2 linked regions of the Alligator mississippiensis genome follow. The protein of the gene in region 1 purifies or fractionates together with the protein of each later gene. This does not show direct contact. Links are inferred from orthologs where the notes say so. Each region holds a gene or a part of one and is shown in the gene's direction. Other genes may lie near its edges.

What was found.
Region 2: the proteins of PAK2 (region 1) and GIT2 purify together in Homo sapiens (affinity purification with mass spectrometry; 3 studies listed by BioGRID and IntAct, with this or other methods). This does not show direct contact. The link is inferred for Alligator mississippiensis from reciprocal best matches to the Homo sapiens genes PAK2 and GIT2.

The regions. Positions count from the first base shown.
Region 1 is NC_081830.1:36,758,163-36,773,663, reverse strand, and holds the start of PAK2 (serine/threonine-protein kinase PAK 2), read left to right. Parts: upstream 1-8,948; 5' UTR 8,949-9,028; intron 9,029-9,034; exon of another isoform or gene 9,035-9,128; intron 9,129-9,223; exon of another isoform or gene 9,224-9,311; intron 9,312-15,501. Other genes in the region: PIGX (phosphatidylinositol-glycan biosynthesis class X protein), read left to right, coding at 1,984-2,139. UniProt on the Homo sapiens protein: Serine/threonine protein kinase that plays a role in a variety of different signaling pathways including cytoskeleton regulation, cell motility, cell cycle progression, apoptosis or proliferation.
Region 2 is NC_081833.1:2,078,999-2,094,508, forward strand, and holds the start of GIT2 (ARF GTPase-activating protein GIT2), read left to right. Parts: upstream 1-8,951; 5' UTR 8,952-9,012; coding exon 9,013-9,064; intron 9,065-14,582; coding exon 14,583-14,716; intron 14,717-15,510. Other genes in the region: ANKRD13A (ankyrin repeat domain-containing protein 13A), read right to left, coding at 1,646-1,712, 2,931-3,126, 3,663-3,806, 4,580-4,625, 5,052-5,176, 5,369-5,501, 7,952-8,047. UniProt on the Homo sapiens protein: GTPase-activating protein for ADP ribosylation factor family members, including ARF1.

The DNA.
Region 1 (15,501 bases):
TTGTAAGGCTGGAAGGGTCCTTGGAAAATCATAGTGTCCAGTTTCCCGCACCAAGCAGGAAAGATACCTGTTCTGCCTTCATTTCACCTGCTGACGTGTGTTCTTAATAGTGTCTAGTATATTTTGGACTCCTGGCAACAGTGGAGTTGGGGAGTTGGGATGAGGGTTGAAATCCACTCATGCCCAACTTGCTGTAATGCCTGGAGACTTCCCTTTACTCTTCCTTGGTGATTGTTGCCACTTCTGTATATATATTTCAGTGACTTTGTGCTGAATCCTTTGTTGGAATCTGCCATTGTTGCTGATGCTTTAGTGGTGCTTTACTTGGAGCTAAGGATGCAACAATTGTTGGTGTGCATGAAGATTTTGCTAATAGTTTGAGGAATGAGTAGAAGATAGTTAATGTACTTGGGTTGATGCCTTGTCTGAACAACTGCAGGGAAAATGACCTCTGAGAAAAGCCATACATGCCTATGTGGATATCTCCTTATAAACTATGTCTCTGAGGATGATGTATTTCTCTTTATTACACCTTTATCAAGGTCTAGATATGAGCCCTAGCCACCTGGGACTTTGAGACTCAGCAGGGCTGGAGTACTGTAGAAAATGTGAACTGAGACACATCCTGATCAGTAATTTAAAACAGGGCTGTTCAGCCCCCAGCCTGCAGGGCAGATCTGGCCCATGGCACCATGTCATTTGGTGTGCGAGGTTCCCCACAGGTACAAATTTGGCAGTGGGGGAGCAATGACACTGCTCCCTTGTTTGCTGAGTTTTCAGACCCATGGGGAGTCCCAGACCCTGCATGTTGAATCAGCTGCCTGATCCCAGTGTGCAGGACTGCTGTTGGGCCCCAGGGCCCAATCCCAGTGCGGGGGCTAGGAGGAGGAGGAGGCGGCACCAGGCCCGTGGGGTCCAATCCTGGCAGATGGCAGCTGGAGGGGCAGTGCCAGGGCCCCATCCTGGCATGTGGGAGTGGGAGGGGAGGGTGCCAAGGCTTCTGGGGCCCAATCCTAGTGGAAGAGGGTGGTGCCAGGCCCTCTCGGGCTCAATCCTAGTTTGCCAGGCTGGAAGGGGGCAGTGCTGTGTCCCCCAGGGTCCCATCCAAGCAGGAAGGGGTGTTGCCAGGCCCTCTGGGGTCCAGTCTCAGAGGGGCAGTGTCTGTGGGGCTGCATCTGTCATGCATACCAGCTATGGCCCTTTCATCTGTCCTGTGGGCCAAAAGGTTGAGACCACTGATTTAAACACTTGTTGTATTCAGGAAATCTGGCTGTGATCAGTAAAGAATTTGAAGAAGGTAAAGAGTTTGCATCTTTTTATGGCTTGTACTTTATTTGGAAAAGAAGTCTCTCCCTTTTTAACAGGGAAATAATAGGAATGTCAAACTTTGCTCTTTGGTTTTGTTGGAAGACTTCTTGGCATGTCTTAAATGATTACTGTTCTTGCTAAAAGGTCTTTCAGGCTCTCCTGCATCATAAAAAGTGAAAAAAGAACACACCTTCCTTTTTTTTTTCCCTTTACTGGTCTCCGATAGCTGAGCTTTCATTCCATAAGCTTATTCCTTTAGGCTCTAAACAGACATTGTCCTTGGAATGGGATCAGCTGTGCTGAGATGCATCCTGACACAACTGGCTTGCTTTATTGGGTGACACAGATGTTGCCCATTGTCTTAAGATGGGATGTGGCAACATGATGCATGTGTCCAGGGAATCCTTTGCTGGGGGATTCTTGGGGTGCACCTCTGCAAGTAGGGAAACAGCCTTCTCAGGTTTGCTTTCTGGATTTCAATACCAGGGGAGAGGCAAAACCTTTGAAATGACTAGTGACAGAACCTGAGCAAGCAGAGCTGTTAAATGAAGCAGAGGTTGTTCAGAAGCATGGAATGAACAAGTATGATGCTTGTTTAAATAACACCTAATGAAAATATGAAGCAGTTAAAATGTAACGATTATATAGGTTTAACACCCACCTGTCTCTTCATAGGTAAATAAGGAACTGATTCTGCAGGTTCCAGTGGGACTCAAGCAACACAGTTCCTTAGTATGTGCAGTGACACTTCTTACCACAGTCTTGTGTTTGAGTCTGGTTCTTGCAGCCGTATGCAAACATGGTCACTTCTTCCTGGTGAACTGCTCATAGTGAAACCAAACATGGCCTTATTGTATGAAGCCATATGGATTGAGAGTGAGTATTGGTTTCCTATTAAAGTCTCTATATGTGGAGTGTAGTTTACTGTTGTTTGTTTGTGTTATGGTTGTGCCTAAAGTCCGTTCTGAGATCATGGCTCTTTTGATCTAGACCCATAGAACAAGAAAGAATTTCTACATGGGTGAAACACAATTGACCCCTGTTTGATAGAACATTGAATGCTGTTAGTTGCATTTAGGTGACTTGAAATTGGCATTAAAAATTTGGAAGAGATGTCAAGATATTTATGGTGTGAATTAGAAGACGGATGAATAACTCTCAAAGCTAGTGAAACAGTACTGACTTGGAAACAAATGTTCGGAAGACTGGAGGGAAGTCATTAGAACTGTTGAGAAATATCAGGAAACAGAGAGAGGAAATTGCTTCATTGGTGGAAAAACTGAATGGCTCCAGGTTAATAGAAATGTCTGCTCTGTGCTTTATTTGACAGTAGGGGGCATTGTGAGCATACAATATGATTGTGGGGAAGTCTTCTATTTCCTGTATGGCAAAAGGTTATTAAATCTAGGTAGTTCTTTTTATAAAATTACACATGTAATAAAAAGAGAAAGTCCCTGCCTTCAGCTTCTGTTTGTCATATTTCTTTGTGTGGCCTGTATTTGACCAACATGGTCATCTCATTAGCCAAATCAGCCTTTCATTATCTTCCACAGCTACAGCCTCAGGATCTCATGGGCATCATTCTTCATCTTCTGCTGAAACTCAAAGAGCTCGTCTTGTGACTTCTCCTACTGCAGGTTGACAAGTGCTCCAACCCTGGTTTCTTGTTCTCCCTCAATTCAGTGCTGGATGATGATGGCTGTGTCTACTTCATGCACTACCTCAGTTCACAACTCCTTTTGCATCTGTTTGGGGAAAGGGAGAAGTTAAAGAAAAGAATTGCAGATAGACTTTGTTACCTATTTACAGGTTTCCCTCACCAACTGAGGGAGTTAGGCTCCTAAAAGTTTCCATGGATAGCAAAACGTGGTTGGTAAGACAAAAGGGTTATGGGAAAAATAGGGTATGGGACTTGAATATGAATAATAAAGGAACATACAATGTATAAAAATCATTGTTTATATTCGCCAGACTCTCTACATGTGCTAGATGATTCAACAACTCCTTTTGTTTCCAAGGACATCACTTTCCTTGCTCTCTTCACAAATTGCTCACCTTCACCACTCACTTGCTTAGAGGCCATGATTAAGGGCAAAATGCAAAAATCTCAAAGAAATTGGAAGACAAATGCAGAGTACCTGCAACTGGATGGTTAATAGTGTGAAGCACAATGCGAGACTGTGTGAGTGAGGAGATGGGAGCGCCACAAGTGGCTAGCAAGAGCGCGGGTTGTTTGAAATGGCAGGTGGCAGGCTGATGCGTGGGCATGGAAAACCGTGGTTACTCAAAACTGTATACCATGGTAGCCAAAATGGTATATAGAATATTAAGTGTGGATACTCAAAACTGTGGTTGGCAAAACCGTGGCTGGCAAGGGAAACTGATAATCATATCTGAGCAGCTGGACTGGGATAAAATCAGCTCTGAGCTATTGTTTAATTTGTCCTTGGTTGTTTATTTTTTAATTTCCAAATTTGAGTGTGTTTTTGTGCTATTTTCTATCCACACATGTGGTTTATATTGCAGACTGATCCTTGGACTTGTGCCATCATGAAATACTGCCCAGCTTTGGCAGATGGTTCTCTTTTAAATGTTTCTTCCTTTTGTTTTTTCAAAATCACATTAATGTCTGATAAATCTCAGTCTGAACCATTTTAAATGGGTCAGTCTGCCTGATAGCATCATGCAATGAAAACAAATGGGTCAGTTTCTGGAAGAACGGAAAAAAAATACCTTGAGTGGTAAAACTTAAGGAGCATATAGTTGAGACATTTAAGTAATGACAGTGTACTAAGACTGTAGAATGGAGTCCATGATTATAAACTGAACTAGGAGGGACTGCCTTTTTTGCTTTCAATGAGTTGCATAGGTGAAAGTCATTGTTGTCCTTAAGCTGATGGTTTGTATGAAATGAATAACTAGTATTTAGGCATACTTACAGTGATAGGCAGATCTAGGATTTTGAAAAGGGTGGTTCAGGTGGTGTGGTTCAGCATCACTTTGAACACAACATGTATTTTTTCCAGTTAAAGAGAAACTAAAAGATTTACTAATGTGCTGCAGACCCAGTGCTATATTAAAGCTAGATTAAAGCAAAAACAAATATAACATTTTTAGAATATATACTAATATGCAAGCTTATATATTAAGTTTAAAAAACAAGATGAGCTAAGCCAAAATAGTCCAAAAATTCTGTTTTAGTAGTCTTGCAGTCATTATAATTAATTGTACATCTTATTTAGATTTGTTAAACAAAACGTAGCCTTGAGCATCTTGATAGTTTAGCCAACACTTCATTGTCAGTAATTTCCACACCTGAGTTAATGTTCGCCTAAGCAATATTTCTATGTCTGACTTAAGGGTTTTAGCTAGAACTAAAAATGGTCTGCAGGCATATGAAATAGAAGAGAAAGATTACCATGAACAATTAAAAGACAGCAAAATTGCAGAGGGAAGGATAACTTGATTAATGGAAATCAAGACCATTTAAAAGGAAAGAGGTTCACTAATGCTTGTGGAGTGAAGATAGATTAGTAGGAATCAGGTACATTGTAGTGAGCCATGAAGTCATTTGACTCCCTCAGTACTGCCTGAACAGAAATTCTGCCCTCTCTCCTATGCAGTTTGTCTTAAAGTTTGAATGGAGAAGAAATCAAAGGGGAGTGCAACTGCACCACTGCACTCACTCCCCATGCCCCCTGGATCCTCCCCTGACTGCAGTTTAGTTAGATCCTGGTTTATTGGTGCATATGTAGCATGCAGCTGGATATACTTCTTAGCTTTTCTAATGGTTATGGCAATTATTTCAATGTTTAGTCCGAGAGAAATGGAGCACTTCTGCTTTTCTTAGCAAAAAGGCTTTTTTATTTCTGAATTTCTAGCAGAGATGGGAATTTAATTATGGAATTAACAACATGGTATTAGTATTAGGGTTAATCTTTAGAAGGTTTAAGCAAGTTTAGTAGCCAGGGGACAATACTAATAATGGTAGCATTTTGGATTCCAAGGATGCATCCAGCTCAGTGTGCATGTGCCTGTCGCAGTGTCCCAAATCAGTTTGAGATGATGCAAGAGGCACGCTGGGACCAAAAAAAATTTCCTGCACTGCATATTTGCAGTGCAGGGTCAGAATTTGATACATGTAGATCCAGGTATCAAAAAATACCCTGGGGGGAAAAAAGTGGGGCAGGCAACTGAAAGCTTGGCTCTTCCACAGAGATGCTCTGATAGCCAGCCAGAGTGCAAGGCAAACAGCGGTGCAGGCTGCTGTGACCTGGATCCGGGCTATGTTCCAGGTAAGTAGGGGGTGTGGGGGCCTAAAGGAGCGGGGGGGGGACTATTGAGGGTGCGAGGGACCATTGAGGGGCAGCTCGGGAGGGGTGGGTCTCCCGCCTGCCCCCCACAGGGCTCACGTGTCCCCTGCCCAGCCCCAGCCCCCCTGCAGCTTACTAGCAGCAGCAGTGGTGATCGGGTGCGCTGGAAGCCTCGTGGCACAACCTCCCCACATGGTGTGGGGCAGTAGGGGCAGTGCTGCTTGTCCCTGGCCGCCTGGCATCCACACTGCCTCTGCCATATCACGTGAGCGTGGCCTAGCTTGGTGCTGTGCGCTTTTGGGCAGTTTGGGACTGCTTGGGCTGTCAACTGGGGCCCCATGCCACTCATGGGGACTGCCTGTCGCACTGGACCGGGTCCTGCGGGCACGGGCCCCATGCGCCATTGCGCTGGGTCGCTTCTGTGCTGGCTGCAGATCCAGAAGGAGCTGGGCAGGGTTATTTTGCCCCAAGTGCCACAACTTGCCCCACACCAAAGTGCTTGTTTGGGCACGTGCACCGAGGCAAAAATCCCCGGCTCAAATTTGTGCCAGTCCTATTTGAGCTGGTGCAAGCATGCATGTCTGCATGTGTGGATGCACCCCAAATGTCTGAACTCTTAAATATTCCCTTAGTAAAGCAGTCCGTGGCACTTTAAAAGCAGCAGGCCAAAACTCATTTTGAGTCAGAGGCAGGCCAGCACTTCCAACCCAGATGCCTCTGCCACCATTTCTCCCTGATGTTTCTCCCCACCACCTGTCCACAGCATGGGCTAAGCCTCCTTGGGTGCTGGAATGCTACAGAATACTACCTCTATGACTCGATAAAATGACTCTGGGTTGGATCCAACTCATGGGCCATAGGTTGTTGACCTGTGCCTTCATAAAAAAGGCTGTCTTTAAGTTAAATGGAGTTCTTGTTTTTGTGCATGTCTAATGTGCCAGTGTTTCCCATTATGACTGATACCTGGAGAACTGTGGTGACTGCCATATCATAAAATCATAGAAAATTAAGGTTGGAAGGGATGATAGGAGGTCATCTAGTCCAACCCCCTGCTCAAAGCAGGACCATCCCCAGGCAAGAATTTGTCTAGCCAAGTCTTAAAAACCTAAGGATGGACATTCCACAACCTTTTTGGGTAGTCTGTTCCAGTGCTTTATTACCTTCCTAGTGAGAGAGTTTTTCCTAATATCTAACCTAGACTTCCCTTGCTGCAACTTGAGACCTTCCTTGTTCTGTCATCTGCTACCACTGAGAACAGTCCAGCTCCATCCTCTTTGGAAGCACTTTCAGGTAGTCAAAGGCTGCTATTAGATCCCCTCTCAGTCTTCTCTTCTCCAGATTAAATAAAACCAGTTCCCTCAGCCTTTCCTCATAAATCATGTGCTCCAGCCCTCTAGCCATTTTTGTTGTTTCCTGCTGGACTAATTTGTGCACATCCTTTTTGTAGGGGAGAGGAGACAAAGCTGAACACAGTAGTTCAGATATGGCCTCACCAGTGTTGATTAGAGGGGAATAATCACTTCCCCTGATCTGCTGGCAACTTGTGAAGGAGTAATAAGGCAGCTGCTTTGGAATTTGGGAAACGGGAAGAAGGAATAGTGGTGTTGAGTAGTGTTGTGCTCTCTGCTGTTCAAAGCTGTCCTGGAAGTCAGCTAAACATAAAGCAGACTTAGTGCTTCTAGACCTGTGCAGTTAAAATCTCTGGAGTCAGGCTCCTGTCATGGTTTATGGGCCTACAAATCATGGGTGGGCTGGGAGGTCATATTCAGGTTCTGGCCAAGTCATGATTGACCAGTAGGTTGCTGACTAAATGGTTGTTGCTGCTTCTGTTGCCACATAAAGGCAGTAGGAAGATGTGGTGATTTACCCCATGAGTAGTGGAGGATGGCAACAGGTACACTGCTGCCATTTTCAGTGTTTGAGCCTCCACTCTCCCCCAAGACCCTTTAGTTGCTTTAGAGAGGAATGGAAAACTAAGCTGTGAGCTGCCCAGCAGTTGTCTACACACTTGAGGCACCACAAGGCCCTAACGGGCAATGCAAGGGTTAAGCCTTCAGCAATGGTGACAGAGGAACTGGCTCCTTCCAAAACCTTAAGGGCAAGAAGCAGGATGAGTGAAGTGTATCTGCAGGAATTTGAAATGTGACCACCTGGTGCTCCAGACATCCTTTCATAACTGTCACAAACCCAGAATAAATGACCTCACTCATGTCTTTTATTTCAGAGAGACGCCTGGATTCCAAGGAGACAGTGCGTAAATGCTTTTGAATCAACAAAGTAAGTATTGAGGAAACCTATCCAGTTTCAAAGGAAATTCAGGAAGGCAGAAGTCATTGGTTTTAGACACAAGTTTAGATGAGGAGAGCTCCCCCTTCATCTCTACCTCTCTCTGTCAGCTCTCTACAGGTCTCTGACAGGGCTTCTCAACCCTTTTCGGCTCGTGGCACCCCTTGGAAAATGCCAGCTTAGTTTGCACTTGTTTTCTGACTGCAGAAGCGGAGCAGTTCTTCTCTTGCAAAGAACTCAAAGCCCACAATGGGTGACAGTGGTTTTAACACCATGGCTCCCTCCTAGCTGGGGATATCTGATGAACCAGTTTCCACATCTAGCGGTGCTAACGTTATGTGGCACCCTTGACGGGAGAGAATCGCTGGTCGCCCCTGGGTGGGAATCACTGGACCCCAAATTGCCAGCTGCTGGTAGGGTGCTGTGCAATCACCAGCTGGCTGCTTCCTCTGGCTCGTTAGTCACTGCGGGTGCTTGATTTGCACCCTTGCAACTTGCGTGCCCTCGCCTGATGCTAGCAGGGCCTGCTATGGGGGGACGGTAGTAATGATTTTGCCCTTTGGGGGCCTGTGTGAATCCCTGCCTGTCTTCTCCTTCTCTCTGCCCCGAAGCCAGGGAGAGAAGTGCTGCCCCTTCCCCCCGGCAGGGAATCCCGGGCTTCCGTGTACCAGAAACCCCGGCCGAGTTAGGCTCTGACACTTATTCTCGTTCCTACGGGAAAATTGCCGTTTTTGGTCGTCAATAAGGCCCATGATCCTCTGGCCATGGCTCAGCCTTCAGAAGGGGTGCGGGCGTGCCCAAGCGTGCAGACCCCCGGGCAGTGGGGCCCGGTGCAGCACGGGCCTCGTGACGTCACGGGGGAGGGCTCCCGCCGCTTGGGACCGCGGTCACCTGACAAAAGTTGCCGGCTCCAGTCCCCAGCAGGCCTCGCGCCCCCTGCTTCTCCCCCCCCCCCCGCGCGGTGCACGCTGGGAGTTGTAGGCTTCTCGCGCCCCACAGCACGTCGGGAACCGTAGTTCCTCCCATTCCGCTGGTGACGCACGGCCGGCCCCGCCCCTTCCCCTCCCGGGCTGTGGCCACGCGCGGCGGTTCCGCTTCCCCCTCCGGCCGCCGCCGCCTCGGTGGGTCCCGCCGCCGCCGCCATTGTAGCAGGTTCCCGCCCCGACCCGCCCCAGCGCCCCCTCGGCGGCCTCCCGGAGGCGGGAGCCCCGGGCGCTGCCGGTGAGTCGGCGGGGGGCTCCCACCTGCCCGCGCCCCTGTCCGGGGGGGGAGGGAGGGGAAGTCACGTGTGCGACCAACGGCCTGCGGGGGGGCGGGGCGCTCCCGCACCGGGACAAAGCGGGGGCGCCGGGGGGCTGTGGAGCGAAGCCCCCCGGGGTGCCCGCGTGTGCATGGCTGCAGCAGGTGCGGGCGGGACACGCGTGGGACGGCTCCCCAGAGCTGGGGCCGCTGCCGGGCCGCCGCCGCCGCCCTCTTCCCGCTCTGCTTCCTTTCGACTGCGGGGCGCCGGCCGGGTCCGTGTGTCTGTCCTGCCCCACTGCCCGGCCCAGCGCTGCGTGGAGCCCGGGGCTGCTCTTGTTGCCTGGCCGCCGGGCCAGGGCAGGGCAGGGGAGGGAGGAGTTTGTGACGGAGGAGAAAGTCTGGGCTGAACGGCTCCCGCTGTGGGCTGCAGTCCTTGCCTGGCTTCCCGCGCGGGGCAGGGGTGCTTGCTTAAGGCTGAGCTGCCGCGGAAGTTATTTCACTCGTGGAGCAGAGAATTGAACTTGGCCTCAGATCTGGGTGATGTGATAGAGCAGGTGCTAGCCGTGGGGCAGAGCTGCCTGCCGAGCAGGGGCCTGGGTGGCGGGGCCGTGCCCGGCTGTTGCTGCAGGGTGGCCAGTGCTTCACCTGTACTGGGTCATTTTGGCGCTGCCAGACAATGGTGCTGACCCCTTCCCTAGGGCTAGAAGGGCTGTCATTCCTCTGTCGCAGCCTAGCATGACTGATTGAGGAGGGCAGTGCAGAAACCCCAGAGCTACTCTTCTTGAGTTGTGCATGAGTAAAGTCTTTAAAGGTTAATTAAAAAGCTCTCCCTCTTGTTTTAGAGGAGGGGTGTCAAACTCCCCTGTGCTCTGGGCTGGATCCAGGCTGTGGGGCTCCTTGCAGGCCAGATCTAGCCTGGGGTACACAGTGCCAGTAGTTCTGGCTCTGACCTGGGGCCCATGGCAGCAGCAGCTCCAGCTCCTGACACACGCCCCATTCTAGAGCTGGGGTTGCTTCCCCCACTGATGCTGCTCCATGCCCCCTGCAAAGGTGGCAGCTCCAGCTCTGATCTGGGGCATGCAGCAGTGCTGAACAGCAAAGTGGTTGGAGGAGTAAGGAGGCCGTATCTGCCCTAGTCCAGCCTCCTGCTGCTTCATCACCAAGTTCACCACGGGCAAGTGCCCCAGGTTCTGCAGCGGGCCATTCCCCCTAGCCACATCCCCATTTTCTGGTGGCCCAGAGGGCTGGGTAGAACAGCTTCATGGGTCATGTTTGGCAGCCCTGTTTTTAGAGGAAGGAAAAGTGTATTGTACTTGAGTATTTCATTTTTTTTGGATGCACTTGTGAAACAGCAGGTTATGTTCTCTGTGGCTTCTTAACTCTGAGCTAGGCTACGTGTAGGCTTGCTTGTTAAGAAGCTTGGTTGGTTTAATGAATAATATCCTGAGTGTGCAAGTGTCAGCTAATACATCTTGGGTGCTAAGGCAGAACCACGTCAGAAGTCTTGGTATTGTAACTGCTTGCTGTTCTGTGCAGTGCTAACCCACAGTGATTAGAAGCTGATTGGCTGGGAGGAAACTGCACACATGCAGTTATCTTGCAAATGCCCTTCTGGGGAGTTTTTTCCTCTGGAACAGGTGGTATTTTCTCTGTAGGAAATGGGAGAGTGAATTACATAGACTAGTGCTTTGACCATGTATGGCAATATTAAGCTTTATGGCACTGACTGAATCCTTACCTTAAAAAAAGTAGACTTTTGCTCTGTTTAAAATGTCAGTCCTTAAATAATATGCTTTTTTTTAAACACGTGCATTTAAAATACTTCTTTGTAAATATTGAAGATGACAGGTATGGTCCTAGCTACTGCCAGTCATTTATTTAGGGGTATGAGAGGTTGCACAGGTCTGACTTAGAGATATTTTTGGTTTGGTTTGGCCTCATTCCCTTCTCATTTTCTTTCATCTCTGCCTTCATCGTCACTTTTTGGGTAGAAAGTTCGCTGTAGGGCCATGTCAAATGAAGAACCTGGTCCAGTAGTTACTTGTGTGAAGATGCCAGCTGTTGGGGTCTTGGGCTGGGACCCAAGCAGCACCTTATAAATAGTCTTGTCTGATTGAAATGGACAGGTAGGGAGAAAAAAAGAAGGATAGCAGGGCATGGAGCTGGTGTAGAAGAGAGGTCCCTGGCATAAGTCAAAGATCCTTAATATTCATTAGCAGCTCAGACCCCTGTGAGGAGTGGAGGAAGTTTGTAAGAAATAGTTCAGGTGTGTAAACAAGTTTTTGCAAAGGCTGTTTTGTAGGATGACTCAGATGCTGTGTGGAGCAATGTCTAGATAGATTGATTTATAGTTTGGACACATTCATTGAGAAATGCATGGCTGAGGATTGTTCCAAGCCCCTCTGACAGGTTCCTTCCAAGGTATTTCAGAGTTCTGTAAAATATGAAGTCATATAACTATAGTTATACATGTCTTGTCAAGTGCCAATGACTGGATCAGCACTGTACAAATATTTTAAGGTCAATTAAATATACTGTTGACAGTTCTAGTAGGGGAAAAAACAAATTGAGAGGCACTTGTCAGGCTTTTTATTCAAGAGTTCATTCAGTCTAGAAACTTACTGTGAACAATTTCAATCATCTTTTTCCGTGTGAAAACAGACTCACTTTGGACCAACAGGGTGGTTCCAAAAGAATACAGAAAGCTGACTGTCCTTTTGAACCTTTCCCATTTTAACTAGAAGGCATTTCTTGGAAATGTAAGCTGAGTTGGATTCTCAAGAACAAATCTGTGGTTGTCTGGTGGAGTCTGGAAGATATTACTGTGCAATAAACAAGGGTAGCTGATAAATTGCAAATAAAAATTGCCAGTGCAAACGTTACAGAGTGAAGGACTCATAATACTTAAGTGTGTATGGGTGGGGTCGGTTGTATCTGTTGTATGATGAAAAGAAAGCATGCTTAATTCTTGCATGTTAGTTAAAGTAGTAGGATGTGCTAAAGGTTCTGACATTAAAATGAGATTAGTTCAGTCAGTGAACTAGTTGAAGATTGGATCATTGCCTTATTGAGTGGCACTGATCTTTAAGCCTTTAAGTTTTTAACTTTAAGACTTTACATTGCTCAAGGTTGATATCTTAAAGCAAAGTTTCATAGCAAGTCTTAATTATGCTAGTCTAACTAGATGCTGATTGGTCCCTTTGCTGCCTGTATTCAGTTTATACTTGTGTAGCCTGTCATGGGGAGATGTGACTGCTGTTCCCAGCTGTTCATCTGACCTGTTATATCCTTATACAAATCCTTTCTTTGTCCTTCCAGCTGGGCAGTGGGTTTATCATCTAGCCTTTAAAATTTCACACTTCCTTGCCAAAGGCTGATACAAAGATGGGGGTCCCTACCAGCAAGGTTTCCGAGCAGCACTATTGTACTTGTCTTTTCCCGTTGAAGAGGGAGAAGTTAGTGGGATTCTTGCTAGGAGTCTCTTTTATAAACCATGCTGGTGTTCTCCATATTTTGTATTGGCTTCTGGCAAGTATCACCTCTTGCTGCTGAGGAAGAAACTTCCTGTCTCACCAGCACCTCTGAGGCATCTTGTTGCAAGTATACTTCTGCTTCTGTACCCTTCCTGTAGAGGCTGGGGGAGGGGATTAAGTCTTCAGTACTCCTTCCCCTCCTCAGTCCTCTTGGTTCCTCTTCTCCTCTGACTAATGCTTGTACTTGTGTTCCCAGAAAGCAGTACTGTATAATTAACAGAGACTCCTGGTCCCATGGTGGTTCTGCCGCCCCCCCCTGCAGCAGCAGGACCTGGGCAAGGCAATGGGCTCCCAGTAGCTCCCATCACTGCAGACTGGACAAAGAAGGCTCCTCAGAGATGTGGGGCCAGGCCCTCCCCAGAAGGAAGAATACAGCACACTTGGTGAAGGCTGCCCCACTGGGACTGGACCCCCCTCCTCCAGGGAAAGCTGGGGAGAGCCTGGCTTGTCAGCACGGAGGAGCCTTCCAAGTCTGGGGCACAGCGGTAGGAGGTTCAAGGAACCCGTTGCCCTACCTGGGCTTCACTACTGCAGGGGGGCTGGACAGACCCACCATGGGGCCAGGAGTCTTACTGCTGTGTTGGGAAGACCCTACCTGGCCCCTTTTGGGGGCACCTCCCTCCCTGTGGCGGTGGAATCTGGGCATAGGAGAGTTCCTGCTCAGGGGGGTGAGGATAGGCTGTGGCTCTGCAGCTGGGCAGTGGCCCCTAGTGGCTCCGCTGTGCCCGCTGACTTCTGCCCTTAGCTCCCTGCCAGTGGCTTGGCATAAGGGGCTGGGGCTATTCCTGCTGGAGGTCACTTGTTGGTTAAATGGTTAACCAATAGTTCATTGGAGGTGGTAAAAGGGATAATTTTTTAAACAATATTTACACTCCCACTTTGCAACTGTTAGAGCTATGAACTTTATTGAAAAAATTCTGCATCAATTGATGGCTAGGCTTCCTTTTTCTTTTTAGACCAATAGTCCTTTTGCTCACTATGGTTTTTAGTCTAGAATGTACGGGCAGGCCTTGCAGGCCGTGAGCCCAGGACCATGTCCGTGAGGCCCAGGTGTTCGGGCCAACCTGTACATACTCTTTACTGGCCCCGATTTGTCACCCTCCCTGGAATAAACGCCTCTTAAAGTCTTTTTAGACCAAGCAGATGGGCTGCTTGTCAGAGGTAGGGTGGAATATTGAAGCTCCTTTCAAAGTAAATGCGTTTAATTACCTTTATAAAGCATTTTCAGGTTCATGGAGAAAAACACACTATTTAAACTGCTAGTTACCTATTACAGTGCTTAGAAGCATTGTAACCAGTTCACCTATGTGGATAACCTATTATGTATTTCCCAGGGTTGTGTTAGTAAATAGACCATTTTCTCCTTTAAAAAATGGATCTAATTGGAGTTAGTTTGCCATTGGAGGCTAACAAATGGGATAAATGAAGGACTTGGTAACTATGTTGTTCTGTTGTTGATGCCCAGATTTTCAGTTTTTAAAACCAATTAGCTTGCTACTTATTAACATCGGGGCAGAACTGTGCTTGAAGGGATTTGATTGAAAAGAGAGTAGCTTGGGAGTCTCTCATTGTTTCTTGTCACAAAATACATTTTAAAGCATGCTTGTCATGAATGGGTATAGATAAATGCTTTCCTCCCTTTCAGGTATTTTATTCCAGAAGATCATTTATAGTTTATGGTTGAATTTAGCTACAGGGCCTGCCAACTTTTCTTTTGCGGAGGCAGGTTTACTCAGGGTTACATACTTGAATGGGAGGTATTGGCTTGTTATTGAAATATATTATATTGTCCTGGAAAATTAGCAGTTGCCTGTTGCCAACAAACTGTTGTTACGTTTGATTCTTGAATCGGAGCAGTTCTTACGTCCATGAGTTAATGAAGTCAACCGTGTTCTTTTTCTGCGTCTACTTCTGTCGTAAGATATATTTTATACTTATTACAGGTACAGGGTCTGGGAACCTGGTGAAGCAAATGCAGAGTGTTCAATGGTGCTGCTGGTGTTCAATGCCAATCTGAAATACAAGTGATGGCAATTAATGGGAAAAAATACCTTGGTCTTACTGTAGTTGAAGAAATAGGGCACGGCAGGGACTTGGGAGCCTTTGTTACGTCTGTGGCATTTGATAAGCCAGCTTTCTTCTCTCTCCCTGTTTCCCTTAGTACTTGGCTTGTCTAATGTAAGCCTTGTGGGATATGGTCTGTGACTTACATGTTTGTACATTGCCTGGTACATTGAGATCACCACTTCAGTGGTTCTGGCTATGGCTCCTAATGTCATAACAATAGTAATGTGACTTCATAGAATGACAATGGTTAAATCCATTCACAAGTTAGAGATCCCCTCTGGAAAGGGAAAGGTATTGATGGTATGTTTGCTTTGAAGCAAGCCAGAAGACATGGGTCTGATCTTTCAGGTTTGATGTTTGGACCACCAGTTGCATATTTCAGATTTGATATTTTGTTGGTTATTTGAAGAATCTGATATGTTCTATTAGTGACTTGTGGGCTGGCATTTGATAAACAGTATTGAGTTAATATTCTACAGTTAGCATCTCTGTTTTTCTTGGGGCTTTCTGAAATTGCCTGTCATCCTAGTAATAAGTACATGCAAGCATATTCAATATTTCATTGTATGATCAAATGTTTTATTTGTCAGGTTTATCTAAATAATTTTGATGAAATGTGGCTCAAAGTAGGGGACCAGGAAGTGTTTTTGACAGACTGAAATACATTTTAAAAAGTAGTATATTGTGGTGTTAGATATACTTTGATATAATACAGTCTTTTTCTCCTGCAATGACTGCTGAAGTGAGCAAGA
Region 2 (15,510 bases), on another chromosome or scaffold:
ATCTGGAATCACATGATAAAGAAACTAGTTGGCTCCAGACATTTCAGAACAATCCTACACCACCAGCAGTCAAAGAAGTTTCCCCGCTGATTTCAACTGGAATGGGACTGAGCCCTCTGCAATACTGGAGAGGCCTTAGCTCCTTGTAAAGGGATTTCATGTTTATTTCGATTGACAAGTGGGCAGCTGCCTCGGCCTTACTGATGAACCCCCCATGCCAGGGCTGCTTTGGAGGAAGGCAGGCTACGGAAGGTGCCTCAGGCAGAGCCACAAAGAATTTGAGATCCTCCACTTAGTGGTTCTGCAGGGCTAATAACAGTAAAACCTAGGTTTGAATCAAAGCAAAGCAGGCTCACTCAGTAAGATGGTGTCATTTGTGTAGGTCTTTGGTCATGCCAGACATTCAATGCAACTTTGGTTTCACACAGGTCAGTTGAACAGTTGGACAAACTATTATATTACAAGACAAACAAACCACCCCTCTATCATGTTAGAAGAGAAGCAGGGGTGCAGAACCAAGCACTCGGAAGTTAGGAAACAAGAGAATTAAGGTTGCCTCTGGGTCTTACATTTGTTTTCTCGTGCATATGCATCATGGTACGTCCTTCTTATATGATCACATATGATCCCCCTCTTTGCACAGGACCCCACTTCAGTCAGCGCATAGGCTGGAGGGTGCTCATCATATGTATCCCATGCCTGTTTTTATCTTCATCTTTCAGTATGTGACCTCCTTCCATGATTCATTGAGCATGGTTCCCACTTGGCACTAAACAGAGCTGTCTTAAAGATCAGTGGTGCTCTCACTGTAGTGCCCAATTTGTTTACAAACACCGGAGAAGTTCCCTTCCCATGCCTTGATGAGAAGGGTCTTTGTGGGTGTTATCGTTATGTCTATTCACATGGGCAAATAAACCAGAGATTAAAGTAAAACACCTTGACTGACTGTGTATGTCCAATTTGGAAAAAACAAAACATAAGCTTCTCAAAGTTTTTAGCAATTTACATATCCAGAGTACAGCTGATCATGTAATTAGAAAGTATGTCTTAATGTACATGCACAAAATGGTGAAGTAAGGTCACGCAGGACCTGGTATTTCTAACTTCTGAGAAACTAAAATCAGAGCGGGGGGAATTCCATCATATGGAAGCATGCTAACCTCCCCCCCATATGGCTCATTGGAAAGACAAACTCTAGATCCGTGCCGGTCTTACTCTAATAGAGCTACTGAAGGAACTTGTAACAGCAAAAGGCTAGCGATGACATTTTGCTGATGGGTTCTACTGCTTTCTGACACTGTGAGAATGCTGAGACTCTAAAGTAATAGCTGAGCTCCGCATTCTGGAGGGAAACGCTCTTGTGATCAGAGCCATTTGCCCACATCCCTCCCAGCCTCCCCCCGTCTTCTTTTGGCACTATCCCCACCTCCCAGCACTTGTTTCAATCCCCAACCACAGGCAAAGCTCCTGGGTATTTGGCATCCCATCTGAAATGTCTCACACCCTATCAGTTTATGTGGCAAATCAAGACGGTTGTGGACATTAAAGGAAGATTTTAACGCTAAGATACTCAGGGAATATTGAACAATCACATTCGCACTCCAATTAGCTTTAGACCTCTTAGTTGTAAAGAACTGATTCTTACCTTTGCTTCATAACCATTTACACCTTCTGCTTTCTCTGTCCTCCATACCCAGAATCCAGATGTAGTTCTGATAAAAAGTGAACACCGCAAGTATCTATATACAACTTGCCATATCTATTTATCCTCCAACCCATGTTTTCTCTAATGATGTTTCAGCCAAACAGTGTTTGCAAGATACTAGACAAAGCCCCAGAAAACAGGTACAACAAACACAAACATCTTTCTCCAATCTAAGGCCGAAAAATGAGTCTGAGTCCATTTCTGTTCTTATTCATATCTCCATGGAAGTGCAGAGGCTAATATTTAGCAGGCTGATTGTAACAGGAAAGCTCGAGCCACAAGGAACTGGAGTTTCTGGATAGCATCACATCCTCTCCTGAACCACTGAACAACTGTCAGAGTCAATGCTAGCTTAATTTTATCTGGCAACTTGCAGCTGGAAACTGGGAAGCCAGGCTGATTGCTGTCAGTAAGCTTTAGGGTGGTTTTCACAAACAATGTAAATGTTGGCGTGTCTAAAATTCACTGGCTTTTAGCAGGACTTAGGATTTGGAGGCTTTTTTGTTTTAATTTTATTCCCCAAGTAGCACTCAAGGAAGAAAATCTTCACACATCCAATAGAATGAAGCAATGAGCTTTGACAGCTGATCTTTCACACTGGCTGTAATTCTGCACCATGTTTTAATAAATACTTTTGCCTTGAAGTTAATCAATGTTCCCACAGCAATACTTAAGTGTATTGTCATACCCCATAACACTCCAAAAAGGTGCAGCACTGAAGTAGCTCCTGTGCTTCTACTATCAAACTAGTATCTTCTCTATCAGTATTAGTACAGTTATTACTATCATTTACATAGGACTAAGCTAAAAATCAATCAAGCTCAAAGTCAAAACTGAAGCTGTAAACTTTATTATTGGATCCTCAACGTCAGCCCACAGACTGTGAACTAGCGTCAGCACTGCACATATGGTTCGTTCTTGCTGTGTTGGCAATTAAGTGTATATTTCTGAAACCAGAAGATATTAAAACTGGCCCCATTAATGTAGAAATGCAAGTGTTACAGTGCAAAAGGACTCTTCACCAAATGGAAACCGTTTGCAAGGCCAGAAGTAAATGTTATGATTTTCAGCTCATTCTCTACAGAATGGAATATGCAGTTTAGGGTATTATTCTAGGTTACTTCCAAGATAATCTATTACAAGATTCTTTTTTTAAAGTTATACTGCAAGCATAATCCTGCATAGGTGGAGGATTTGTTCATTAAGAAAAGCTTAAATATCTTACCTTTCAAAAGCAATGTTTTTTGTATCAAGGCAAGTATTAATAATAGGAGATGTAAGGCGTCTTTCCACATCCTTCCTTTTTGGAGTCATAGAGCCCAATGTCAAACGCTTCATTTGTTGGGAGATTTCAAAACGCTCTGTTGTGACAACCTTATCATCATGGTTTATCTCAATTAGCTCTGCCCAGCCTCCAGTATCTGTTGAAAGAATAGATATAATTGACTAGATTTTACAAACTTTCAGTAAAGAGGTATCCAGGACTCACACAAGGGATGAAAGTGAGGACAAAGGAAACTTTGTCAGGTTTGCATTTGTCTGGGACAAGTGATAGATTTGTTTAAGTACCACTATGATCTTAGTAAGGATGGATGAGCAGATTATGTAGGTGGCCAAGTCATTTTTAAGAGTAATTTGAAAAGTAGAATTAAAAGACCCTAATACATTTGGGAAATATATATATCTATCTATAATGTAGCTGAATGCTTATTTCTGTGGTTCTAAAGTTAAGTTTTAATCTGATTTCCTATATTTGCTCCAGAAGAATTTGTGAAGGAAAATTCAGCCCTTCTGTTCTGCTTAGAAACTTGAAATGCCAGATGGAGCACTTCTCAGCATGAAGAAGTCTGTGAAAGATGTGAAAATAAAGCTGAGCATTATAACATGTACTCTGAAAAATATTGTAGGCCTCATGCTGTCTGACAGTCAATAAATGAGACAGGCTAAAAATACTCACCTTCTCCCTTGAAAATTAAACTACGTTTTCCTCGTTCCCAACTCATATTTTCAAAGCCTAATAACGTGATATCAACTCGAAGCTTGGCACCACTTTTCCAGATGCGGCAGATATCACTTGGACATACTCTGGAAACCAGTGGGACTATAAAGAAAAAGACAGAGATTCAAATGTAAAATTCCTTAGCAGAAAAGAAAGGAGTAGGAGGATCAAACTCAAACCAGAAGTTCTAGTCTTGATCCAGGAATTCCTTAAAGAAATTTTATGGCTTGCATTACACAAGAGGTCAAAGTAGATCATCAAAATGATCCCTTTCAGTCCCAAGAGCTATGAACCTCTGTCTTTCTTGGTTTAGTTTGTTTTTTGATACCTAAACAAAGAACAGAGGAACTATCAGAATTGATTCCCCACTTATGGTGAACATGGCAAGACATGAGACACTAAATAAAATAATTAATTGTAGCTATTTTTTTGTCCTCTGTCCAGCAATGGTGAATACTCAGTGGTTGGGAAGAAAGAGAAGTCACCCATAATGCACATAATCAGTTTTGCAACGGGAAGGAATAAACTGCTTCCTAAATTGGTTGGCACCACCACATAAGTTTTGCCTCATCACCTTATGTATGACGAAGCACTGGGACAGCTAAATCCTTAGAAAAGCTTCAGCAACCACCAACATAAGTGCCATAGGGTTCAATTAAAAAAAAAAAGGCATTAACAAAGATCTAACAGCTTATATAGCAGGAAAAATAGGCTGGAAATCTTTCATGCTTAACAAACTTTGAGAGAAAGGAAGAAAGTAAAGGTTCTACATACATATTTTCTTTGCAAACCTACTTTTTTACTTCAACAAGTCTGAAACTCGCATGCATTTCTACTGGTTACAAGAGGTAAGAGAGGTTGTAGAAGACACTTACCCCAACTAGTGAATTCCCATTTCATTTCCACGTAGAAGTCAGGAGTCTAGCATAAAAATGGGTGTTTCAAATAAGCCAAAAATGGAGAGAATATTAACTCAGTATTTAGCTCTGACTTGTCATATACATTTAAGAAAGAAGAAACATTTGAGGCTGAGATGTCACTGACAACACCCACAGTGACATTTACCCAGATAAAACTTACCAGTACATTTAATCAAAATAAGGTGGCATACAACAAGACATTGTCCTGCAATAGTTTAACACTTTTCCACTGTACCCATCTTAATTAAGTTACTACGGATTTACATGGAGTTAATGGAGAGGTAATTTTGAATTGAATAGCCCATCATCCTGACTTAAGATCAATTGATTCCGATCCCCAAGCTGATTTAAGTTAACTGACACCAAACTAGCAGCTCCCAAAAGGGCACTTGACCAGCCTGCAACTCAGGTTTCATTAAATATTTACCTCATTAATCTTTTGGAGTAATTCGGGAACCCCTCCAAGTGTCATTGAGGTTTGCTGGTAGTCCCGATGCTGCAGAATCATGTGTACCATTTCTGGGTCTCCTGTGCTGACAGCCTCATGCAAAACTGAAAGAAGCCCAAACACGGAGGTGGGTGCATTTTTTGTTTTTAGCCAAAAAGCAGAACGCCTACAACACGCATGTTGCAGACAAGCCATGCAACGTCCATGACGACACACACAGGGCCAGATTTCAGAGGTGCTGGGTTTAACGCAAAGGTTATTAACAGACAATTTCCACTTGCAATCTAATCTCTTACCAGTCCATCCCTGGGCATTCTCTTTGGTAACATCTGCCTTGTGTCGAAGGAGGACTTTGGCAGACTCTATGTATCCCAAGGAAACAGCAAGGTGCAGCAAGGTCCGGCCTCGTGGATCCCGTTGATCAACATCCTGTTGAACAACCAAGAGGTAAATGATGCTGAGACCATTCAATCAAACCCCATCACCAGAAGACACCAAGGACAGATAATACAAAGCTTTTCAGCGATAAGCTACAATGGGTCAGTATGCATTATGTATTCTTACAGAACCATTCATGGTTTGCAGTCACTTTATCTTATATGACTTGCTTTGATACCCCTGTTGAATTGCCTAATTGTCCTCTTACAAGCCTGGCTTTCACAGAAATCCAATTGGAATAGGACTGGACTCTTTTAAAAGTGATTGGGAGTAAGAGGAAAAGGGGGTGTTGGGAGGCAGAGAAAGCAGCCAGCTCTATATGAGGTTCCTCCCCCCTCCTGATCTGCAGGCACAATTTTTTCAGGAAATGGCAGGGTTCCATTCTCTGTACTTTGTAACTTTGATTTATTTAGTCACCAGTTAAAGTGGCCACTAGAGGGTATCATGACATACAAAACATTAAATCAGCCAAAAATCACAGAAGTGAGTGATAGGCTATACAATGCACGTTTTGTATAGCATTTAGTGAGAATATGGAAGTAAAATGGCAATTAAAAGAGCATCAGTTTGACTGAGACACACAGGACAATGGAGAGTGAGTGCATTCTATACAAATCACTAAGAAATGCAACCACATGAGGCATAAATACCCAAAACATGCAAGCACAACATACTCATACCTTACTTCTATTTTTCACTACTAGCTTTAGAGATCTGAAACAGAAGAAGATCTATAACTAAAGGAAAAGGGGAAAAGTCAATAGTGGAATAAGATAGGAATATTATGCAAATTGAAATGGTTATCTGACAGCATTAAGTCTGAAACACCAAGATCGAAGAGTAAGGAAAGTTTGAATTACAGCATCCTCATCTCTCGCTGCTGTGATTAAGTACAGCAGCCCTTGCGATCTTCACTCAGTTTCTCCAAGCTGTAGTGCCTAATGCAGTGAAAACAAGGATTCTGGATCAGTTATCTTCATTTCTCTTCTGCTGTTAACCTGGAACTGTGCATTGCATTAGTCATTTCATGAGGCTGGCTAGAGTTTCCTTCAATACCTCTGCCACACACAGCACATCTGTCCCATACAAGAAGCAGTTTGAACAGAGGATGCAGAAGTGACATCTTTGATTTAAAGAAGACACTTCAAGCTTAGTGCATGTATTCTTTCCCTTCCTTTAAATGTAGTCCATTTACTTGCGCTGTAGAGCACTGGGGGCAGGAAGCTGGACCTGCTTGCATTGCCATAATTACAACGATGCAAATCACCAGAATAAACTAGCGCTAAAATATTCCCAGTTAAGGTACAACTGTTTAAAAGACGGTAACATTATTTTAATAAAGATTTAAACATAAAGAAACGAGCACCCTAACCAATGTGTCAGTAAAAGAAATATTGCAGACAGACTGAAGATTATAAGAATTAGAGATACAGTACACAGCATCCTAAAGAGTCACTCAAAGAAAGAAGAAAAAAAGACGACCTAAGCAAGCTTTACACAAATATTAGCATTTCAGAATGCACCAGCAAAGTGCAGACAATCATCCTAATTAGCATCACAAGGTGACACTGTCTGACACTCGGTGCATGGACCCACTGTATCAGGAACAATACAATTAACAGGCTATGTGTCTGCCAACTGGTGCCCCGTGCCACAAATCCCAGCTGTTTAGCTGTGTATTAATAAAGTATATCTCAGTATTTGGAGCTGCACTGGAATTCAGTAATGGCAATATCTGAACTCAACAACTGGATCATTTCAACTGCTTGGGCTCCGATACAGATTTCGAACCCATTTCTGTCTGTATTTTAATGCTAATAGTGTGCCCACTTTACACCTGCCCTACCAGATTTGGGTGGTTTAAGACGATCACGTACGTTTTGTCACCGGAGCAAACATACTCAGCTATTGAGACCCTAAGTCTCCACCTGGAAAGCTCAAAGAACTACGCTTGAAAAAGGGACGTTTGTATTCTAACCTGCAAGGACTGACTTTGCAAAACAAAAATCATAGCATCCATCAGTGGAGAGGAGGGCAGAGAACGATTCAAGAGCGTGCGAGGAAAACAGCAGCAGTTTTCAGTGAGCTACTGGTTGCCCGGGCACGCCATGCCGAGAAAAAAAAAGTTTTGCTCAGGTCCCGGCAGACCGGTCGCCGCGCACGGCTTGCGGTGGCCCTCTCTCAGCAGACAGCATTAAGGCCCATCGCATCTGTGTGTTTTTTGGCTCCGGGTCCAAGCCCAACCCTCCCCACCCAAGATCAGCAGACGGCATTTAACAAGTTCGGCGATATCTCTGCAGACATATTCTCGGTGCCTGCCCGTAACGGCCCCTTCTCATCACCGATAGTGCGTCGGCAGCCCCAACAGCCCGACGGTCCCACGCATCGCTACGCTACCCGGCCGCGTCCCCGGGGAGGGTGCGTCACGGGACGCTCGTTACCTGCTCGCGTAGCTCCGCATCCAGCCGCCGGTAGTCGTTATTCCACACCAAGACGTGCAGCGGGTACTTGCTGCTGGCTTTGCCCGGCGAACTCATCCTGCTGCCTGGCGCTCCCGAGGGCCCTGCTCTCCCCTGCTTGGCACCCCCAGCCCTGGCCGGGGGGAGGGGGGGCAGACACCCTGCTTGCACTCACCTCCCCAAACACACGCACCCAGGCCCCTCAGCCTCAGCACCCCCACACCTCAGGCACCCTCAGAGACCCCCCCCCCCCCACACACACACACACACACTTCAGGCACCCTCCCCCTGCCTCAGGCACCCTCAAACCTCCCCCCCCCCCGTCTCAGGGACCCCCAGAGACACCCCCCCCCGGGGCTCCCCCAGCCCCCTCCTCCGCCTGTCCCCGTCTAACTTTCCTCTCCCGGGCAGGGGCCGGAACGAATCAGCGGGCCCCGCGGCGAGGGGCCCTCGTCGGCTGCCATAGCCGGCCCCGCACTGCACTCCACTCCACAAGGGAAAGAGGAATCAGTGCTCGGCGCTGCCCGCGGGCGGAGGGAGGGAGGGAGGCAGCTCGTCACCCTGCTGTACTTCCCCAAGGGAACTGCCCGCGGCGGAAGCCGCTTCCCCACCCGCGCCCGCACCCAAGCGTCGGTTTCATCGGCTACTTCCGCCTTTCTAAGACTTCCGGGTGGCCGGCGCCGCCATTTTGGGTGAGGGCAAGTTCCTAACAGCCTCTTTGAATAAGGGCCGGGCGGCCCTTCTCGCCCAAGCGCCTCGGCGGCCATCTTGGGTGAGGGCAGCCGCGGTTTTCCCCCTGCCCCACTTACGCGGGTGCCAGGAGCTAAGATGGCTCCTGAGTCGCCTCACTCCCTTCCCTCCACTTGTCACGTGACGAGCACCTCCCTGCCCTACGCGCGCGCGCACCGGCCCCAGCGGCTTGCTGAATGGCGGCGCTGGTGTGCGCCTGCGCAGTGCGGCCTGTTGCTGGCCGGGCCCCGTGAGGGCGGCAGGAAGCGGCCCCAGCCCCCCCTACCCCGCGCCCGCCACCCGCCCGCGCCGGCATGTCGAAGCGGCTGAGGAGCAGCGAGGTGTGCGCCGACTGCAGCGCTCAGGGTAGGCGCGGGGGGTGGTGCAAGTGCCGGGAGGTGGGTTTCCCTCAGCTCCCCTCAGGCAAGCGCGGCCTGCAGCGGGGGGGCCCGCGCCCGCACACCTGGGGGACGCTTCACCTGCCTTCTCACCGAAACAAACACAACCACGCCTTCATCTTAACGGCCCAAGCACGGTGCTCCCGGGCTTGCCCTGCACCCGCGCTCGTGGCGGGGGGACGGGGGCGCTTGCCCAGACTCGGGGTCCAGGAGCCACTGCCCCGCGACAGCTCGCAGCCCGGGCGCGGCGGCAGGGCCCGGCCGAGGTGTGCGCGCCGTGAGAAAATGCAAGTACAAGAGCACGGACCGTGTGCAGGCGACACCACGCACGCTTGATACAGCGCTGAGTGCGAATATGGAAGTAAAACGCTCATTAAAGGAGTGTTCCCAGTGTGGAGGCTATACACGCACGTTTTGTGTCGTGTTTAGCGAGAGCGTGCAGGGCAAACGGCAATTAAAACAGCATCGGGGTGGAGGCTGTACCGCGCGCACTTTATATAGCGTCTGAGAGACTCTAGAAGTCAAACGGCAATTAAAAGAGCGTCCAATTGACAGCAGAGAGTGAGCGCGCCCTATACAAATCGCTAAGAAACGCAGCCGCGTGAGGCGTAAACACCCAAAACGGGCACGTGCAACGCACGCAGCGGCCTAGGGGCGCTTGAGCAACACCACGGTAAGCGGGATGAGATCAAAGCGCTGGAGAGGAGAATCGTCCTCAGCCCGCGTACGAGCTGCCCCGCAACTTGTGGATTAAATGAAACGGGATTTGCTCCGGAGCCGCGCCTTATAAGTTTGGCTTGGGTCGCAAGAATATACGAAAGGGTTGCATGCAAACTTTTAAAATGGATTCTCCTTTAAAGGGGAAAAATGTGGGAAGCTTTGGCTTTTCCCTCGCAGGCTGCGGAGGGCTGCTTGTGGACCCACGTGCCCCACACACCCACTCCCTGCCCCAGAGGTACTGGGTCAGAATTGACCGTCGACGTTGACAAATGGGTCCTGGTACAAAAAAGGTTAAGAACCACTGGTTTAAAGGATAGTCCAATATGTGAATCTGCTGACCCACTCCTCCCGTGTGTAGCGCGCCCGCACACCAGGATGAGGACCTGGGAAGCGTCAGTGATAAAGCAGTTGTGTGGCTCGGCCACATTAATGATGTGTAAAGGGGGAAATGAAGGATAGGAGAGAAGAAGAGGCCTGGGAATTGGTGACTCCCAGTTCAGTGATGCCAGGAAAGGAAACGCAGTCCCAGGTCAAAACAGACAGCAACGCTGAAGAGTTCCTGTGGACTTTGGTGGGTTTACACATCTATCCGTATACAGATAAGTGCTGCTTGTGCTGACCTGTGCAGATAAGTGATGTTAAGTGCTTGTTGCAATACAAGCGCTAGGATGAATGTTAAGACTGGCATCATGTTATACGCTTAAAGGAGTTTTGCACTTATCTAATATGGATATAAGTGGAATTTACCAAACCGTTTAAACAATCATGGCACAATTAATTCTGTGACTCCTCTTATAAGGATGCTGTCCAGATAAGTCCCCCTTTTCAGTGCATTCCCATACCTGTGTTTAAAATGTTTATAGTATTAACATGGAAGAATTTTAGAATTGTAATCTTACTTTTTGTTTTTTGTGCTTCCTTTTTGCACTTTCCTGTGTGTCAGTACTGGCTCAAGAGAGTTTCACTTCTAGACAACTCAGTTAAATACATGACTGGCATGATAAGCCATCTGTGAGTTGTCAAACTGTAAGAAAAAAGGCCAGAATCCTGTGGGCTTTGTTGGAGGTGAATTTCAGCATTCATAGGATGGAGGTTCAGCGTGGTCAGGAGCTTGTTGGCAGTGTTCTGTCATGGTGTCTCTCCTACACTAGTTAGAAAAGAAATAATGTAGGGCAGTGTTTTAATAAGCTGATCCCTTAGTCAGGTTTATTGACAAGGTTTCCAGAGTCTAATACATAGTCCTAATTTCTGCTTCAAAATATCAGAAAATGTGAGTTCCAGCAATATTCCCTGTAGCTCCAATTGAGGGGTCCACTAATTTTAAGAGTGCTAAGTATTGTTCACTGTCCCTTTAAAACAAGTGTGGGCTGTATCTCATTTTGTGTGTTAGTGACCTATAGACTTGAAGGCTGAGCAAGCACAGAGGAGAGTTGTGTTCCAGCAAGTGAGATGGCCTAAAATAACATCCAGCGCAGAAGTATTGGTATTTAGCATAGCAAGAGATTATTCGTAGAGTTACCCCTCTGATAGTGAGCTTAGAAATGACAATGAGATTTGTTGAATTTCCTTTTAAACATGAATCTAATTTCTATAAAATCCGAATATTCCACCAGCAATTCCATCCTTTATTGGAATGAGACGTTTGCTTTGCAAACTGGATAAACACTGAATTTGCATCCAGGAACAAAGAATTTATTGACAGCTGTTGCCCTTTAACACAACTTGCAGTTTACAATTATTGAATTTATGCTTGGATTTCTGGATTTCATTAGTCGCAGGTTGATGACATCTGCTTAATTTTAGCGCTGTGGTGTTTTACATAGTTGAGTACTTTTTATTTAAGGGGCATCAGCAAGATAAAATTAACATATTCAGTGACATTAATAGCAAAAGGAATTGTTAAAACTGAAGAGTCTCAATTTTTAAATGAGTTGATTCTGTTGTGGTGTATGTTACATTTCATTGAGGTTTGAATAGGGACATTAGATTAGTCAGTTTCTTCTTGGTTTTGCTGGAGAGGATTCCTGCACTAGACTAGTGATGCTGACTTCAAGTCACCTTAGCTGAGCTGGCTTTTGGAATATTTAGAAATACTTCTAGGCCTCAGTCCTGCAAGTAATTATGTACATGTGTAGCTGTACTTTGGGCAGTCCTGTTAACTTTAATAAAACAACTCAAATGGGTAAAGCTATGCACATAAGTCAGAAGACTGGTCCAAATGACTAACTGGGGAAACTCTGAAAACTTTATTTAAAAACGATTTTTAGAATGCCAGAAGGCACGCTCTCTTTTTAAACTTCAGATATATTTGTCATTCTTTCATTTATATCTACTCATAATAATCTTTTCTACCCCAGCTTATAAATCATCTTTCTCAGGTTTATGCAGTTCATGCTCTGTGTTTTGTGTTGTGCTGTGCTTCTTTCAAGATCAATGGTGTGACAGATGTAACACCAAAATAAATTACAAGATTATATTATACAGGTAAACACTGAATACTCAAAAGTTTTGTAAAAACAAATGGATGCCCACCTTCTTCCCCTGGGTTAATCTCCATTTTCCTTAGGTGATAAAGACTCTGGAAAATAGGATTTACTGTATTCAGTTTCTTAGCATCATAAATGAAGATTCCAGAGTTGATATATCCACAACTCTACCCTTCTTCTTACCCAGTAATTAATGTCACAACCATATGTCCCATGTTATCAGTCCTATCCTAATTCTATTGTAAAGCTGCTTTTACGCTGCTTAAATGTATTGAACATAGAGGGACTTATCACTACCACAGTATTGCTTGAATTTCTGTACAGCAGTTTGTTTTTTCCCTGGCCCATTTTTCCTTTGTTTAGTTTTGACAAATAATTGTTCACTCATGCCTTATAAACCCCTCAAAATAATATCTTACATTTGTACGGCAAAAAGCAAATGTTTTTGGTGATATCTTTTATTGAACCAGCTGTATACAAGTTTGTACAGTTAATCTAATTAAAGCTATCACCCAAAAAACCTTGCTTCTTGCATATCTCTTGGCTAATCGTGGCCACAAAACACTCCATCCCTACTTGTTCGTTTTGACATGAGGCGATGCTGTGTCCTTTATCAGCACACTTTGCATTCTGTATAATCGTACGATTCACTTTTCAAAGTCTGTTGATAACAACTAGCAAGTTTGTCTTGATCATGTCTTACTTCCTGTTTTGAATTCTTCTCTAGTGCTACTGAAAGCATAGCAGAACTTGTCTTGCCCTCTCTTCCCCCACTGTATCTTCCTTAATATCTTGCCATCAATTTAAACTTGTCTATATCCAGTGTTTAATCAAAAGAATTTTAAAGTTGTTCAAGGCTGTTTGTAAATTAAATGAGGGGAAAAAACCCCAAACAGGTTTGTTAAATGAGAGCAAGACATGGTGTAGACACTTAAATCAATTTAAACCTCACTTATCTGTTTAGTGTAAGTTGACATCTCCACCTCTTATCTGTGGCCTGCCTGGGACTTGCTGTCCCCCAAGCTTAAGATAACTTGTATAAACTGTGTTTAAATTGAATTTAAAAGGCAGCGCTTCTTTTTTGTGTGTGATTTTTAACTATATCTGTTTGAAGTAACACCTTTAGTTAATCCAGTAACTCCTAAGGCAAATTAAATTCTTAACCATTTCTTTTCTCAGCACATGCTATCAATTCCCCTTTTACTAGTGATTCAGGCCTTTTACCTGTAGTGTTTCTCCCACTCCTCCATCTTCCTGGTCCTGGCACATCCAGGTTTGTGAAAATCCTGATGCTTCCTTCCAAAAACTTCCAGACCTAACACTTCAGTCCTCTCAAGCTCTTATTTGGGCCCATAAGTAGGTCCATGTATTAGTGATTGTGTCCATTTCCTGTCTGACCTTTCCAACACTCATCAGTTGCAAAGAACGTCGCCTTGGCTCATTTGTGCTACCATGACAGTCCCCTGTTTGAATCCTTCCACTTTCGTTCTGGTTCCACTGCATCAGGTTCAGTTTTTAAATCACTCCTTTCCTCTGCCACTGATGCAAAGCTTTGATGAATACTTGACAACTTCTACCAAAAATGTCTGCCTGCTTTCATTAACGCTACTTTTCATTCATAGATAGCATTTTCTAAATTACCAGTTTTCAGTAGGATTTTTTTTTCCAAATCTCTACTAAAATCTACTTGTGCCATGAATTGTGAGGGTTATTTGCTCAACCAGGGGTGACCAAGTGGCCAGTATTGAGTGATAGCTGAATATGTTCAATTATAAGAGTGAACAATTTGCAAATGGTTTGCAGCAGTAGCTGTCTAGTAGGAATAATAAGGCAAGAAATCTGGTTGGTTTTAAGGAACTTGTTAAGTGTATTAAGGGAATTATGTGATATAGTTTCCTGTGATAGCAGGGTAGGAATTTGCTCTTTACTGGCATTTCTTTGGAACTCATCACAGCAGTATCTGGGAACTGCTTAGTTTTAGCCTTACAATGGATCTGATATGAGGAAGACAGGGGGTCCTATTTACAAATGAGCAACTGAGGCCACAGAGTGGTTTTCTTCAAGGTCTTAAGTGTGTGGCAGGCTGAAATAAAACCCAGATCTCCTGAAACCCAATATAGCGCTTTACATACAAGACCCATTCTTCCTCCAACATCTTGAGGTCTGCGAAGGTTGTGATTTGCCCAAGTTCATATAGCAAATAAATTAGAAAACCAGGAGTAGCATTTTACCATTGAACTTGTTTGTCTCCGTGTTATAACATGTGTAACTCTTTTCCAGACCCTTGTTGGGCATCAATAAACCGGGGGATTTTAATTTGTGATGAGTGCTGTAGCGTGCATCGGAGCCTGGGGCGTCATATCTCACAAGTGAGGCATCTCAAACACACACCATGGCCTCCAACGTTGCTGCAGGTAAAGGATGAGACTTGCTATTTTAGAGAATTCTGTAATAACTAAACTTTCTTGGGAGGATGGTTGCTCCCTTAAGCTTTTTTTTAAAAGATGCTTGGTTTCTGTTACCTTTCCTGTAGTGCAGGGGTGTCAGACAAGGCCTGTGGGTTGATTCCGGTCTGCAGAACTGTTGCATCCAGCCCACTGGTAGTCCAGCAGGCTACAGAATTGCATGCCTTCAGCTCTGCACAGTTGTGAACCCCTGGCAATGTTGCCAGCCTCAGGCATTCGAGCAGCAGTGCTGAACTAGCACATTGCAAGTGCCTGAGGTGTGCAGTAGCGTGGAGTTGAGAGTACGCAGCAGCACAGAGCTTCGGCTGGGCATCTGCATGGAGCCAGGGATGTGCACTGGTATGGAGCTGCCTTTGGCCAGATTTTGTGTCTCCTCAAGCCCCTGGCTCAGCACTGCCCAAATGCAGCTGCCTGCAGTCCCATGGTCCTGGATCCACACTGCCACAGACCAGACCCATGCTGCTACCTGAACGCAGCCTCCTGATTTGGCCCTGGAAGGAGCTGTGTAGTTGATTTGGTTCCAGGCCCAGAGTGAGTTTAACACCCCATGTAGTGCATTACTAAAGTAAATGTTACCTGTGAAATTCTTGACTTGCATCTAGGATAAATGGAAAGTCTGAAGCACAGTTAAAATTCTCTTGGTTTAGCGAGTAGCTTTCAAGCCATTTTAGATTACTGCAGGTGTTTCAGTGCAAGTTATCAACATGCAGCAACCCTTCCTCTTCCCCAAAGCTACTGTTGGC